4 linked regions of the Danio rerio genome follow. The protein of the gene in region 4 interacts with the protein of the main gene of each other region in a biochemical or structural test. Links are inferred from orthologs where the notes say so. Each region holds a gene or a part of one and is shown on either strand. Other genes may lie near its edges. The genes, in order: lbr, chaf1a, smarca4a and cbx5.

The links.
Region 1: the proteins of cbx5 (region 4) and lbr form a complex in vitro, tested with the Homo sapiens proteins (2 studies listed by BioGRID, with this or other methods). The link is inferred for Danio rerio from reciprocal best matches to the Homo sapiens genes CBX5 and LBR.
Region 2: the proteins of cbx5 (region 4) and chaf1a form a complex in vitro, tested with the Homo sapiens proteins (2 studies listed by BioGRID). The link is inferred for Danio rerio from reciprocal best matches to the Homo sapiens genes CBX5 and CHAF1A.
Region 3: the proteins of cbx5 (region 4) and smarca4a form a complex in vitro, tested with the Homo sapiens proteins (2 studies listed by BioGRID). The link is inferred for Danio rerio from reciprocal best matches to the Homo sapiens genes CBX5 and SMARCA4.

Annotation. Positions count from the first base shown.
Region 1 is NC_133195.1:39,684,012-39,688,795, forward strand, and holds the start of lbr (delta(14)-sterol reductase LBR), read right to left. Parts: upstream 3,295-4,784; 5' UTR 3,237-3,294; intron 1-3,236. UniProt on the Homo sapiens protein: Catalyzes the reduction of the C14-unsaturated bond of lanosterol, as part of the metabolic pathway leading to cholesterol biosynthesis.
Region 2 is NC_133197.1:22,139,766-22,143,892, reverse strand, and holds part of chaf1a (chromatin assembly factor 1 subunit A), read left to right. Parts: intron 1-566; coding exon 567-811; intron 812-899; coding exon 900-960; intron 961-1,042; coding exon 1,043-1,111; intron 1,112-3,597; coding exon 3,598-3,812; intron 3,813-3,942; coding exon 3,943-4,114; intron 4,115-4,127. UniProt on the Homo sapiens protein: Acts as a component of the histone chaperone complex chromatin assembly factor 1 (CAF-1), which assembles histone octamers onto DNA during replication and repair.
Region 3 is NC_133178.1:18,046,707-18,050,833, forward strand, and holds part of smarca4a (SWI/SNF related BAF chromatin remodeling complex subunit ATPase 4a), read left to right. Parts: intron 1-9; coding exon 10-119; intron 120-224; coding exon 225-372; intron 373-759; coding exon 760-923; intron 924-2,140; coding exon 2,141-2,207; intron 2,208-2,305; coding exon 2,306-2,416; intron 2,417-2,493; coding exon 2,494-2,736; exon of another isoform or gene 2,737-2,863; intron 2,864-2,966; exon of another isoform or gene 2,967-4,127. UniProt on the Homo sapiens protein: ATPase involved in transcriptional activation and repression of select genes by chromatin remodeling (alteration of DNA-nucleosome topology).
Region 4 is NC_133198.1:39,403,145-39,406,283, reverse strand, and holds the end of cbx5 (chromobox protein homolog 5), read left to right. Parts: intron 1-992; coding exon 993-1,134; 3' UTR 1,135-2,162; downstream 2,163-3,139. UniProt on the Homo sapiens protein: Component of heterochromatin that recognizes and binds histone H3 tails methylated at 'Lys-9' (H3K9me), leading to epigenetic repression. In contrast, it is excluded from chromatin when 'Tyr-41' of histone H3 is phosphorylated (H3Y41ph).

The sequences.
Region 1 (4,784 bases), on a different chromosome or scaffold from region 4:
GTAAGATAGCCTTTTTACTCAACATTTTACAAATATTTAAAAAAAAAATTGTTCTAAAATAAATATGCTAAAATATTTAGCCTTATAACGTAAAACCAACATGTAAGAAAAAAAAAAAAACGCTTTCAAGATAAACCACGATTTGGAAAAGTCAAAAGTTACTGTTTTACCATTCTTATGGTATATGTAAGATTTTTTTATTTATTTTCTTTTTAGTTTTTTTTTGGACAACATTATCTCCAGCAGAAAAGACATCCAAAGACGAAGTTTTAAATTGTAAAGAAATTTGTGTTTTTGAAACTAATGTAGACAGCAGAAGTCAATGATTTATTTGAATTATTTAGTCTGACATGTTCCTCAATATAAAATATATTGTGTTCAAAGGGGAAAAAGTTTTTGTTTTTTACCCGGATATTTTAAAAAAAATGTCATTTAGAGTAGTAATCACAATACAGGGTTCAACACTAAGGATTTTTTCTACTGGTCCAATCGGGCCAATGGTTCAGATTTTTACTTGCCCTGCCCAAATTTTCACTGGCCCCATTAAAAAAAAATAAATAAAAAAGACAAGTTAATGCTTATTTTTTAGCCACATATTTTAAATAATGTGTCAAAAATAACTTCTGTGAATCTAGAATTTCAATATTTGAAAAATGTTAATAAATGTATGAGCACAATTCAGAGCTATGCAAACGAAAATTGCATTATGGGAAATGTGGAGGTATTTTATTGCAGTTTGAAATTATTTAACAAAAGGTGGCTGACTGGCAAATTGTGCAAAAAAATAAATTAATTAAATAAAAAATAAAAATAATCACCATTTTTTTCGTTGTGTTTTCATGTAAATGTCTGCTTCCAAGACGTTATAAAAGTTTTTAATTTAGCCTTTTAATTTGATATTGCTGCCATGTTGCCGTCTCTTCGCTGTACTGGTTGTTACCAGGATACGGAAAAAAATAGCGTGCTTCAAAACAGATAGGAGGATCCGAAAAGCAATCGACATCAGAGAAGATAGCATTTTAAGACCAAAAAGCTCAAGCTTAAAATGCACACAATTGACTAATAGTCGCAGGCAAGTTAAACTTTAGTGACAAGGCAGCACTTTCCCAATCGGGCCAGTAATAATCCTGTCTACTGTCCAAAGCATCTTTCACACTGGCCCCGGGCCATAGGGCAGTCCTTATTGTTGAGCCCTGCAATACCGTCAAACCATAATATTTTTATCCAAGGTTATCATACCATCTACGGCAGGGTGATTAATTGAAAAGTAATCAAAATCATTCAGAACCTTTAATCGATCAACATTTTCCAGGTCAATTTTTTTTTCAACTACTTCCCTTACCGCATGTGGAGTCACGTGACCCCGCTCTGTTTACACTTCTGTGTCAAGTGCAGTGAATGATCTGGAGCAGGCTTCACACAGGCACATACCACAGGCACAGAGAGGGCAAAAAATTAAATAAATAAAAGAACCATTCATTATTCGTAATTGAGTTAAAATGCTCAATTAATCAGAATTTTGATTTTAGGCCAAATCGCCCAGCCCTAATACCATCAGAATCATATACCGGCCCATGCCTAATCGGTTACCAATATATGAATTAGTTAACATTAGCAACAATAACTAAGATGAATAAATGCTTAGAAGCTTTACATGACTACATTAACGTAACTTATTTTAACAAATGAAACCTTACTGCAAAGATTTAACAAAAATAAAAACTACAACCATTCAGACTAGGGCTGTACGATTAATAATATTTTTTATCACAATAACGATATTTGTGACAATCAGTAAATAAATATTGTCATGTTTGTTTGTTTGTTTTCTATATTTGTGGCTGTGAAATTCAATAATACACAAGTGAATAAATGTTAATCAAAACAATAATTGCCATTATTAATCGTGATTAATGTTTTTTCTGTGCAGCCCTAATTCAGACTAGGCATGGGCCAGTATAAGTTTCGGACGGTATGATAACCCTGGATAAAAATATCACTGTTTCACGATATTGTGATTACTGGTCTAAAATGTGCTTTTTTTAAAATGTCAGGTTAAAAAAACTACTTTTTACCTTATTGAACACAATATATTTTATTTTAAGAAACATTTATAATATTCTAAAACAGTAAACATGTCACGGTAAATAATTCATAATTAAATCATTGACTTCTGATGTCTTCATTGATTTCAAAAACACAGATTTCTTTATCACAAACACACACACAAAAATACCTTACACATACCTTAGGAATGGTATAACAGAATTTTTGCGGTTTTAAAACCTTGTCTTTCCCAAACTGCGGTAAACCTCGAAACCGGTAATCGTCCCATGGCTAATTCAGACTGCAAAATTATGCAGAATATAATAATAGAAAATAAACCCACCAAAAATAATTTTAAAAATCTATTATTATTATTCCAGTATAATAAAAGCTTAAAATGTAACTGAAATAATTTTCTGAATATCCCTTATGACATATTTCAACAAAACATCTGTAATGTAAAATGAAAAATAAAAGGCTAAACAATCTCTAAATATAAAAAAACACCAGTCTACCATTAAAAGACAGCAATTCATCATAACACACATGTGAACATTCTAAAATTCAGATATTAAAAATTCACAGAGCAAAAACCAAACACCAATACATGAAACAGTTTCCTTACCACTAACTAGGGCTGGGCGATATGGCAAAAATGCAACCTCGATTAATTATTTTCCATATTGAACAATAACAATATATTTAGTTGTTAATGCTAACAGGTTCAAGAGTATCCCAACAATGACTGAAGCCGCAAAAATGAAAGCGTCAATTAAATAGCATAACCAATTTTTAGCAGAGGAAATTATATCAACACACTTCTAGATTTCCATTGCTGTACATTCCTGCTGTGTGATTGGCTCTTAGATCAATATAGAGTAAAAAAGCCCAAGGCTAATCATAGTTATCAACACATAAATTATCGCAATTTGATATAATATCGTTTATCGGCCCAGCCCTACCACCAACACATTAAATTTGTCAAAATGAAGCCAGAATCATAATTACAACTGCTCACACATCTAGAAGATACCCTTTTAGCAGACACACCATACAGGAAACACCCCGAACTTCATATTAAAGCCATATGGAGAGAAAGGCCATAAAAACATAAGCCTTCAACCCTAAAACCATCTAATCCAATGAAGCACATTCCAGACATTCCTGATCCAGAGCTCACTGACACACACCCAGCACTGAGTTGAAGTCCTGCAGAAATCCAGATATCCCATGTGCTTCAGGGAGTTTAGGTGAAACCACAGAGCAAAAGATTTAAACTGAGAATGTGAGTGGGCGGAGTCTGCCTGGTTTTGTTATGCAAATATGTGGGCACACGACGACACGCGCGCGCTTACTATCACTGCCAGCAGCTATTCAAAACTACTACTACAACTCAACTACTACTACTACTACTACTTAAATCTTTTAAAGCAATAGTATTTCAGACAACAATGGTCACGGTTTTCATTTTTAATCTTACTTCAAAAAACACTACAACAGAACACCACATCTTATATATTTGAAGATTGGATATAAATCCTACATATTTCATAAAAAGTCAATATGGAAATTTAAGCTGTTTGTGTTAAGCTTTTGTGTAGTTTAAATGTGATCTAGAGGCTCTAGTGTGGATTGCCATGCTGCTCCTTTAACACAGCAGAAGAATGACACCGGAATGGAGGGAAAACGTCATGTATTCAAAACCATTGTCAGTCTGCATGTGAGAGAGACTCGTAAACAGCAACATTAAACGAGAATCAATGAACTATGGGAACAAAAACAGTTATTACAATGAACGTATAGTGTATTTAACACATATTTACTGTCAAAGCAGAGTAAAATGATCTTTATGTGCGATTATTTTACACAAGAGTGGAGAGAGTCACGTGCACTTTCGTGCACAAACAACGTAATGAAACTGAAAGGTTCGATATAAATTATGAATTCAAAACTAGTTGATAAAACAGTATAAAGTTGTATTAGTGTGGTAAAACAGACGAGCTGTGATGGAGGAGCAGTAAATGCGCGCCGTGCCCAAGTTTCCTGTGCAACGACTCGGCTGGAAACCGGAGTTTCAATTCAAGTCAAATACCAAAACAACAAATAACAGCTTTGAGAATTACACATAATAGAAAACATAATGTTTTCTAAACTGTATCTTTCATATAGAGATATGCAGAAAGACAAGCAACATGTTATGTGTACTTCAGAAAGAGAGTTGGGTCGGACTGAGCGCTGAATGTATTTCTGTACCGTTAACTACGCAATCCCTATAAATACATTCCCAGACAAAAACTTTAAGCACGCAAAGTCAATTTATAAAACTTTCTTACCTTCAGTCGACCTTATTTTCCTAAAAATCACTAAAGCTTATCCGTGGAAGTTCATAAAATAAAGAATATTGTTTTAAAACGCTGGCCCCCGCTCTGAACTCGTTCCTCCCTCTGTGACTGCTCAACCTACCAGCGTTTTGAGGGCGGGAAGCGCTGTGATTGGGTGGGGCGACCTGTTTTTAAATTTCTGAATTTTCTGATTGGTCGAAGGAGGGCTTTGCGTGAGCGTTGATTGGAGGCGAGGCATTTGAGCTTGAAGAGAATCGAGGTTTACAAAATGGAGTCCTCTTCAGGCGAGACAGTTGATCGGTGAGATATGAGAAGAAGAGAGAGGGACAGGACAGACAGACGACGTCACACTTATAAATGCCATAAGTTTTTAAGTCAAATATAGTTGGTAATTAA
Region 2 (4,127 bases), on a different chromosome or scaffold from region 4:
GCCGACCAATCACAAAGCTTGCGATAAGCGTCTTTGCTACATGATGTAGTTACATTTTTTGAGAGGTGCGCGTCAGCCATGGAGAGAGCTATGCATCCACGCGTAGGCTGCGCTGGAGCCTATCTAGTTTTTTTTTGTTGAACACCTGTGAACATTGACTTCCATAGCAGAAACAGCAAATACTGTGGAAGTAATTTTTTAAGGTTATTTATTTTGTTCAACAGAAAAAAGAAACTCAAACTGGTTTGTGAAGGCTGAGTAAATGTAACTATTTCTTTAGATGTGGTTATAATTTGTTGAAAACAGTAATGCCAGAAGATTGACCTACATTGAATGAATGAGAAATGTTTGCACAGTCTGTCTACAATGACTGTGAAGCTTTGAGTTTAATCACAAAACCAGTAAAGTTGCTGTGAATGGCTGAAGTTTGGCCTTTAGAGGTTAATGCATTTTTTCCCCGTCCCTCAAATTTGATCCAATTGTTAAAGAGTTAAAGGTGAATTGATTGTTGTCGCTGTGGAATTTTGTGCTTCAGCTGAATAGCCCTTTGTCTTTTTGTCCCTCAGAGTGTTCAAGAGCAGGAGGAGAAGCAGCGACAGAGGGATGAGAAAGAACGGCTGAAACAGGAGGCCAAAGCTGCCAAGGAGAAGAAGAAAGAGGAGGCCCGCAAGATGAAGGAGGAGAAGGAGAGGGAGAAAAAAGAGAAAAAGGAGAAAGATGAAAAGGAGCGGCGGGAAAAAAAGGAGAGGGACGAAAAAGAAAAAGCAGATAAATTAAAAGCTAAAGAAGAGCAACGGCAGATGAAAATTGAGTAAGTGACCCAGTGTTTCACCACAATGGAAACTGCGATGGGGTTTACCCTAATTTGAGAATTTAACTCTGTTTTAAACTTTATTTAGGGCCAAACTAGAAGAGAAAAGGAAGAAGGAAGAGGAAAAACGGTTAAAGGAAGAGAAAGATGTGAGTGTTTCATTGCTGAGAGTCTTGGATGTGACTTTGGCAAGCTGTGCAGGCCCTCATAGCATTTTTGCATCTGTTTTAGCGAATTAAAGCTGAGAAGGCTGAGATTACACGGTTTCTGCAAAAGCCCAAGACCCAGTTGGCACCAAAGGTAAGAATCACATAAGCATTTACACCCCCATAAGCACATAAACTGTAAATAAAATTTAATCAAAAACAATTTTAACAACCTCCGGAAGTGTTAAGGACCATGCTCAGATCGAGTAGTCAGTCACCGATCACTATTGGCCGATAATCGCTTGGTGGGGGGATTGATTTGCAATATCTACAAAGGCCGATCAGATGATCAGAAACTCGAGACACATTTTCTTTACATGGTGCAAGAACAGAGTGTGTGAATTGTGTGTGCCTATGCAACAGAGGGTTATGCAAACCCTCTACTTATGCAACTGAATATGTGGATATTAGTGGAAAATATGATTTCTTTACCTGTCCCATTTGAAGGGCTCCACAACAGCTGCCATAGCCTCATATCGTCCATAATTAGGCGTACTCAACAGGCGGCGCCGCGTCACCATGAAGATAGGGTATTTTTAAATAATAATTTATTACTTGCACCATGCCTTTAGGGCTATTCACCCATCTCATCCAAAACTGTGTTGAAAACATGATGAGCGCCGCTTTTTTCAGCAAGTTCAAATCCCTCACAAACTTCTGCTCTTTCCGCATTTGTGGTTAAGTGCATGTTAGGGCCGGGTGGTATATCGGGTTCTGGGGATGTATCAATATGATTCCCCAACGCCGTACGGTATTATCTAGTATCTTTCATGTCGATATGGTTTAAAGCCACATGTGTGCATTCTGTGCAAAATAAACCACTCCAAGGTAGCACGCAAGCTCCACTTGCACAAATAAGCGCATACGCAAATGAATAATTCACTCCAAGAGTCATACAATATTTGAACGTAGAATATTCATACAAGAACGAACGTAGACACCTTGTCAAATTGACAAGCAGCACCTGAATGTGTTCAAAAGAATTAAAAATACCTAAATGGGACAAATTTATACCGCATTTTGAAAGTGAAACCACCTCATATTCACTGATTATAAGTTCAGTATTTATTACATTCTCTTCTTTACATTTACATTAAAACACATTTAGCTCTTATATGCTTAACCAGCATTTAATCACAGTACTCTGAAACTATTTCGTTACTTTTCATATCTACAGTCTATTCGTTTTCATCTCCTTTAATATTTAGTAAAAATAGTTTAGTCAAAAACAAAAAAACTGTGTTTTTTTACATGGAGTGAAAGACTTGTTTTTAGACGTCTTCGATATGTGCACTTTTTAATAATTGTGCAAAAACATACAGCTGAATTGTTGTTTGTAAATCACAAAACTGCTATACAGGATTACTTATAAAAACACTGTAATTGTGACATAAAATACTGTGTTTCATATTTACATTCTATGTGGTTCTTTTCTATCCTACAATACGTTTTGTAGTGTTACTATTTAAGTGTAAATTTTTTGCTCTGACAATGTAGCTGTTTTCTATGGTTCTGTTTACTTTGTTGTTTGCACAACAGCACAGTAGAGCTGTGTATAGTGTTAAGCAGGCAAAAAAAACTGTACTTGATTTATTTATCAATCATTTTTTTATAATTTGAAATGTTGTGCAACTTGTAGTTTTAAGCAGGAGAAAAACCCGTACTATGTTTTTATCGAAGATTTTGTGCAGCTGTTATTTTTTTGTGCAGCTGTTTATTTGTAAACAAATATATTTTGCTCAAAAATGTTTAATAAAGTTTTAATAAAGGCTTTGACTCTAAAGTGACCATTTATGGGAAAATACCGGATATATATCGTATGCCATCGTTCGTCCTAAAAATACAGAGATATGATATTTTGTCCATATCGCCCAGCCCTAGTGCACGTGGGCCAGAGCCATAGAGGGCTATGGTGTAGACTACACTCGTATAGCATTTTAATGATGCAGTATCGCGTCTTTACAATTTATATTGTGTAAATGGCAGATGTTCCTTATAGCAGCATAAAAACCCAAACATATTCAAATTGTAACGCAACGCTCAAATTACAATAAATTGAGGTGTCACGTCTTTTGGTGTTAAAATTAGAAATGACAATGTGTTTTAAAAGCATTACCCCCAACATTCTGCCTCTTTTCTTAGTGGATGGCAAAATTAAAGATTATCATGGGCCAACTTTGGCCCTTTAGGCCCTAGTTTGAGTCTATATCTGCCCTACACTGTTCTTATTAGCTAACCAAGTACAGGCTGCTATGTTTTAGGTTGGAATGTTGCTCATCAATAAATGCAGTTGTCATATGATATTTGTAATATACATTTATAAAAACATGAATAATAAAAAGCTTCAATTAAACCCTGTAATCAGTGATCAAATTGATTAAGATGCGTCTTTAAAAGGTAGTTCACTCAAATCTAAAAATTGTCCTTCACTCAACTTTGACTTGTTTTAAACCAGTTTTTTTTGTTCTGTTAAAAATGTTTGAAATAATCAATCATTAACATTCATAGTATTTGTTCTTTTTGGCCATTTTGTCAAGTAATGTGTTAATGTAGGCATTTTTGTATGTTCTTGTGTTTCAGACTCTGGCTTCTGCCTGCGGGAAGTTTGCTCCGTTTGAGATCAAAGCACACATGTCTCTGGCACCGCTAACTCGAGTACAATGTGAAGACTCTGTGCTAGAGGACCTGGACCGCTATCTTGCCCAACCCGACAGTACTCTGAATGGACTGAAGGACTGGACAGGGCACAAACCTCGCAGTTCAGGTCCCACCAGACCCAGGCATAGTGCACAAGGGTAAAGCCACACTGAGCCTGTTGCTTGGATTTGTTTGTATTCAATATATACTCGTGCAGAACACTGTCAGCTGCATTTGTTAGAGGGATGTCAAAAGACATTTTATTTGGTGTATGTTCTGTGTTATTAGAGACTGTGTGGTCATAACTGAGAGCCAGAAGGCAGATGATGGACCAGACCGCAGTCGTTACGGCCGCATGAAGCTCCTGCATTTCCATGACAACTATCGGCCAGCTTATTGGGGAACCTGGAGCAAAAAAAGCACCCACATCTCGCCACGCTGCCCGTTGAGGCTGGACAAGGTAAAAAAACATG
Region 3 (4,127 bases), on a different chromosome or scaffold from region 4:
GCTTTAAAGGATGATGAGGAAGAGCCTCAGCCCTCTCAGGCCCCGACAGAGGAGAAGAAGGTGATTCCTGATCCAGACAGCGAGGATGTTTCTGAGGTTGATGCTCGTCACATTATTGAGTGAGTCATTGGATTTAGCCTGGCTACATGAGCTCTTGCTCATTTAATCATTCTGTTGTCATAATTGTAGTTATAAGTGAATGAAATCCATGATGTGTCTTACAGACATGCCAAGCAAGATGTAGACGATGAATACGGGAACTCTGCATTCATTCGGGGCCTGCAGTCATATTATGCTGTGGCCCACGCCGTCACAGAGAAGGTGGAAAAGCAATCGAGTCTGCTAGTGAACGGGCAGCTCAAACAATATCAGGTAGAAAAAGATATATTACTCTACAGTTTTTACTTTATTACAAACATGCTCTGTTTTAAAAATGTTTTAAACTAATTCCTGAGGTGCAGCTGATCACAGAGAGTTGGAACAGATCTTTTGGTCTCAGTGTCTTTGCAAATCCTATTCTGTGAACACGTTTATATGCATTGTATGCAACCCCCTCTACCATTCAGTGTGACCTTTTTTTCGACGTAATGCTTTTCTCTGAAGATACGTAACTTTTTCAGTTATTAATTATCATCACCGATCTCAGTTACCACAAAAGATCCCAGAAAATACTAAGATATGGATATAAAAACGAAAAATACACAGAGAGATTCTTGTTAATCTGGTGGCTTGTGCTTATTGCTTTCGTTCCGTCCACAGATTAAAGGTCTGGAGTGGCTGGTGTCTCTGTATAACAATAACCTAAATGGCATTCTGGCTGATGAAATGGGTTTGGGCAAAACTATCCAGACCATCGCACTCATCACCTACCTCATGGAGTTCAAACGCCTCAACGGACCCTTCCTTATCATCGTCCCCCTCTCGTAAGTCACTGGAGTTGCATGATACCAGAGGAAGAATTTGACAATATTTAGGTTTATGGATGAACGAAAAAATGTAAAAATATGAATATTCTGTAAATTATCGGGGTGATTTGTGAGTGCGTCTAGATCAGAGATGTCCAAAGTTGGCCTATGATAACCCATGGTTTGGCCCACTATCCCATCTGAAAAGAGAGGAAAAATGGGGGAGGGGCAGGGGTATGCCTTTAATAGAGATTGTCATTTCTAATTTAACACAATCTTTTATTTGTTTATTTTATTGTTAAGCTACAAAAAAGAAAGCTTGAATTAAATATTGGGAATGGATGAGATTTATTTAAATGTGCATTGAACTCAATTGTGTTATAAATAGAATTTATGTTAGTTTGTTTTCATTGTAATACGTTCATTATAAAATGTAAAAAAATTAGGGTGTATTAGCTAGCCCAATACGTTAAAGTCTATTTATTTATAAATATTATTTCAAAGAAATTGGGAAATTAGTCTTATAAATTTACTATCGGCCCTCAGATCTAAATTGTTTGTTTTTTGGCCCTTTATAAGAAAATATTTGGGAATCTCTGATCTCGATGGCAAAAAACAGTTAAATAAATCCAAATACATTTTTATGGGAATTAGGCTTTCTAGAATTGAACAGTTTTGGGTGTAGTAAGGATTTTTTTGGCATGTATTGTAGATTTGATGTTATGATTTTAGTGTCATTCATTTAAAATTGTTATTATAGTTAATAAAGTATTCTATTTAAATAGGAAATTTATTATAACTTATGGTATGTCATATACTATATTAGCACACCCTGTATATATATTTTCTTTATGGTATATTATGTACACTTTGCATTTTAATCTCAAGCATTTTTTTCTGGACAATAAAATATGCTGTGTAGAAATATTCATTATACACTTTTCCATCATCAATAGTGATATTTATTTATTTACTGTGAGCTGAGATGCAGCAAAACGATAACAAAATGTTCCAGTTATCCACATGATACAGCTCTTTACCCACTATGATTTGGGGTAATATTAGTACTTGAGAGGCAGTGCTCACCAAATATAAAATAAACTTGTATTGGGTCACACTGGGCCTGGGATATCTTTATTTTTAGCAGATAATCATGCACCTCTCTTCAAAAATAATCAACCCATGGGCATTGCCAAGATGCATGAATGATTAGTGATTTTTCTGTTGTCTTATAGGACTCTGTCGAACTGGGTGTACGAGTTTGATAAGTGGGCTCCATCTGTGGTGAAAGTTTCTTACAAGGTGATTTAAATCAAATGCTGTAATACAAAATAAACCACAACCGAAGAACCCTGTAGGATATTTAACACATTTTTTTTTTTTGCTTATTTTCATCTTAGGGCTCTCCTGCTGCTCGCCGTGCGTTCCTTCCCATTTTGCGCAGTGGCAAATTCAACGTACTGGTCACTACTTATGAATACATCATCAAAGATAAGCAAGTGCTGGCCAAGGTATTAACCTGACCTTTAATCATTAATCATTCTCAGACCAGTGTTTATTCAGTGTCTGATGATGCCTTCTCTTCCAGCTCCGTTGGAAGTACATGATCGTGGATGAAGGTCACCGCATGAAAAATCACCACTGTAAACTGACTCAGGTATTAAATACGCACTACCTGGCACCCCGGCGTGTGCTGCTAACTGGCACTCCACTGCAAAACAAGCTGCCCGAGCTGTGGGCGCTGCTCAACTTCCTGCTGCCCACCATCTTCAAGAGCTGCAGCACCTTTGAGCAGTGGTTCAACGCGCCCTTCGCCATGACTGGAGAGAAGGTAAAATGGTTTTCACAACAATAACAGTAACTATAAGGATAATGTGTTAAAGGGGCCATATACTGTATTGGTTTAATAAGTTAAAATGTTCTCTGATATCTACTTAGTAGGTTTATGGCTTCAGAAAGTAAACAAAAGAAATCTTCAGAAACGCTTTTATAAGCTAATTTATTATCTTAAATACCCCTAGAATATCTGCTCTACTCAACTTTGACCTGCTGCGATTTCAGACACTCATACACACAGAGCATGATGCAAGCTGAACACAGACAAATATAACCCAATCAGAGTAACCTTAACCTATTATGCTCACCAGATCTGTTGTGGGTAAAAACTAAATTATGATTAAACTTGACAAAAGAGAGTGAAAAGAGAGATGTATTGCATTGTATTTTGAGCTACATTCAAAGAGAAAACAGCCACGATTCAATATCAGCTTCTGTATGAACGGATGACAGTTGAGGTGAGTGATTTGACAAGATTCAAGAGTCTACATGTGTTTGTTAATACACATATGCTTCACATTTCACAATAAACATGATAAATTAACAAAAGATGTAACCAAGCATACCATATGCCTCTTCAGAGTGGAGAGGAATAAGTGTATAATCTGTAAATCTTGGATTTTGCATCCTGAGGCGAGTTTTAAACATGTCTTATGCTGTTTGGCGCTTGTGTTTTTACAATAAAAGTCCAACATGCATAGGAAGTGAAATACACACTTAAAATAACTAAGGGAGGAAAATGATCACTGGTATCACTAGAAAACGTTTGGCTTATCAAACACAGCCTGAGGTGTGCATATTAATAATTTCAGGGCTTTTGTTTGCTCTCAGAGCTGCAGGTGAGTTGTGTTCTCTTGATTATGTCAGTTGCTCATCAGGTCAGGATGAATGACCTAAAGTAAGGATGCATGCAAATACAGAAGACATAGCTCATGAGTCTCGTCACAGTTTGTTTTGTCTTCTGATTGGCCCATTGTTTACCTGGGTTTTACACTTGTGGAATTGACATTAATACGATGAAACTGGTGTCTGAGGCACACAGTATGCCCATATCCATATATTGATCGTTTATTATTTTACTATGCCTTGGTATACCCAGATTTTCATCATAAGGCACCTTTGTAATGTTAATTTTCAGCTTTTTAGAAGTGCACACTGCAGTTTTGTCATCTGCTGCTTTAAAAAGTTGCACTCAAAATGGTCAGTCTCAGGATTGCCAGGTTTTTGCAACAAAACTAGCTTAATTGCCAGTCAAAATTAGCCCAATAATATCAAAACACAATAAAATATGCCACTTTCCATTTGTAAAATGCATATTTGACATTGCTTTATGAATCATATATGGTTTGTTCCTTGAAAATTACTGTATATACGGTATATTCCAAA
Region 4 (3,139 bases):
ACTCCGATTTTATTTGGATCCAAGCACATGGGGACCTCAAGATACATGCTAATGATAAAAATAAGGCAGGCTGTGTTTAGCTGGACAATTTTGATTGAATCACCTGAAGTGGAGGTTGAAACCATAGTGTTAATCGCCACATTTACACCTGCCATTATGTCTGGAAATTATTCTAATGTCCCTTTTTAAAAAGCACATTCACACCCTTTGTGTGACTGAATAGGATGGAGGATGAGGATGGAACTGTTCATTTCTCTCCTTTCTCCAACTATTTACAGTTGTATGTTTGAAAGCGTTCAATGGAGTGTACACTCTGCATTTATTTGTTTACCTTATTTACAGTTTACATCTGTTTTTAAGTAATTGCATTTCTTGATTAGTAAACCAACTTTAAGGTTGTATTTAGCTTAGCAAACAATTTATGCTGGATTTTCTGTATAGATCCGTTTTTTGCCTCTGTTACCTTTTGCATTGTAAAGCATGCTTGGCATTATAAACCATTTATTATTCTAATAGTCTCTAACCATGCGTCAAATGTTACAGTAAAATAAGTCAGCTTACATTTTTACAATCAATGAAACTTCCATTTTCTGCATATTTCAGTGTTCACTATCACATATTCAGAAATTTCTAATTTACATCTGTAAATTGGGCCCCACATACTTGTTGCATAAACGGCGTAAATCGCACTTAAGCTGCGTTTATTTGAGAGCGCAAAAGATTTGCGCTTGAGCCGCGTATATTTAAGGGGGCGTGCAAGAGGTTTTGTGCACAAGCAGAGGAAATCAGCGCGTATTGGAGAGTAGAGCACGTAAATACGATCTTGACCTGTAATACTTCGCTCACAACATTGTCCATTTGTCATTGAAACCACGCCATAGGTATTTCTATTTGTCTAAAAGGTCTGCTGCCACAGCTGAAAAAAAATCCTAGAGGAAACACTGCACTTGCTGCGAAATTAACTTTTCGTTGTTTCTGCTGTCCTGCTACAGGAAGGACTCTGACGAGGCAGACCTTGTGCTTGCAAAAGAAGCCAATCACAAGTGCCCACAGATTGTCATTGCCTTCTACGAGGAGCGTCTGACCTGGCATGAAGACGGAGACAAGAAGGAGAAGAGTGCCACAGCGGTGTAAAGGGCAGAGGTTTGGGAAAGACATACAGTCCTCCAAAACCTTGCACCGATGACACTCTCATAGCCAACTTTTAACGGACCATTTAGAAAACGAAAGGCCAGCGAGTATCGGAGGTTTACTGCCCACCACAACAACCTCCGTCCACCTTCACCAAAACACATCTCTCATCAGACAGAGCGAACGGTGGCTGCGGCAGAGCGGTGGAATGTGGAAAACTCTTACTTCTCTTACTCTCTCTGATCTTCCTTCTGTTTTGTCATGATTTGTGTATTCGTGCCCCTACAACTATGTTCTTATGATGTGTTGTGTGCTAGTGTAGATGTGAAACGATGAAAAAAAACCCGTACATGTCCAACTTTTAACTTTTATTCGTTCAGATTTCACAGTATTGCGGAACATGACTGAATGAAATCAGTCGAGTTTGCGTTCGTTAACATCTGCAATGCTGGATGAAAAAGCGACGCCATCGTTTTTTATTTACAAAACTGCTTCTTAATTGATGCCGTTCGCATTTTGCTTATTTTTTTCCCCCCAATCAAGTAGATTTAAGTTTGCTTTATTGCAATTTTAACTTTAAAAAAAGTCCTTTGTGGGCCAAATTATCATACGATTTTTATTGGGCTTGTTTGTTTTTTATCAGTACATCTACCTAAATGATCTATATCTTATTACCCAGACTAAAATCAGGACATTTGGATAAATTTTAACATCTGTGTAAAAATATCTTTTAAAATGTCAACCTTGGCCCTTTTTATCCGCTATTCGATCTTATCACTGTTGCTTGCAGGAGGACAGACAATCGTCATCATGTGAGTGTGTAAAGGGACATTTCTATCTATTTCTACACACTTTTCTTCCATGATTTTATTTTCCCTCCATAAAACGGAAGCGATTATACTCCCTCTTGTGGCTGATTTGCTGAACACATTCCCTGTTTGACCTCATTCACACGTAGTTCAAGCATTGTCGGGTTCTTATATTACTTTTTTAACCTAGAGTTGATTCAATAAAATGGTGTTTATCAAGGTCACATGACTACACTAGAGTTTTGTGCGCTTCTTCGCAAAGACACTGAACAAAAGCTACTGATATCGACAGCTGTAAAAGAGTGAGAATGGTTTAGCTGGAGATGGAATAGTGTGTATCGGGGGGATGTTTCTAAACATTTATACAGGGTTAAACATGATGTTGTAGGTACATTTCTATTATTTTTTTGTATGCTTTTATAATCCTGCCATGATCATTTATACATGTGACTCATTTCTAGCTGATAGAAGTTTTTAAAATGTGCAACAATTATGTCTATTTGCTATTTTAAGTTCACAGTCGTTTTTAATGTACTGTAACAAGCTGTAGTAAATCTAGTTTCCAACACTTCAGTTTTTGGAAACTCCAAACCCTGGGTTTTGGACTCAAGTCACGCACAATACATTTCATTGTAGTGCTGAGATTATGCAAGTTTTACTTTGTGCAATGTTTGTGGGGAAAACCAGTTTTTAACAGCTTATAACGATTGATCAGATAGCAGTTGGCTGAATCTGCACATTTTGCGCTATAAAAAAAACAACAGTGCTGATGTGAACCAGCAGATGTCATAATAGAGCAACTCTTGTCTGTTTGTCTCAGCTGGACGAAAAAAAAAAAGTGTGTGGCTGTAAGAGTTGCACAGTGATTTTTGACCAAATCCAGCAGATCAAAATCTATACTGTTGGACACATTTGTATTTTAAAACATTTGCATCCGCATGCAAAGTCAGTTTGCTTATATTTAGGTTCTCATTTGTGCATATTTTCTCAATTATGCCATATTAGGACGTCACTTTCAGTAGTATTTATTCAGTTTTGTGCCAGAACATTTATATGAATGCCATACTTTTCTATTTTATTTGCGCTTTACAACGCATATTTTTCACATGACAGTCTGCAGATTGTTTTAACCTCATTAAATAGACTTCCAGCTCACTCTTTGCTTTGTATCCTGTCTGTGTTGTAGCTTTGGAGAGGTG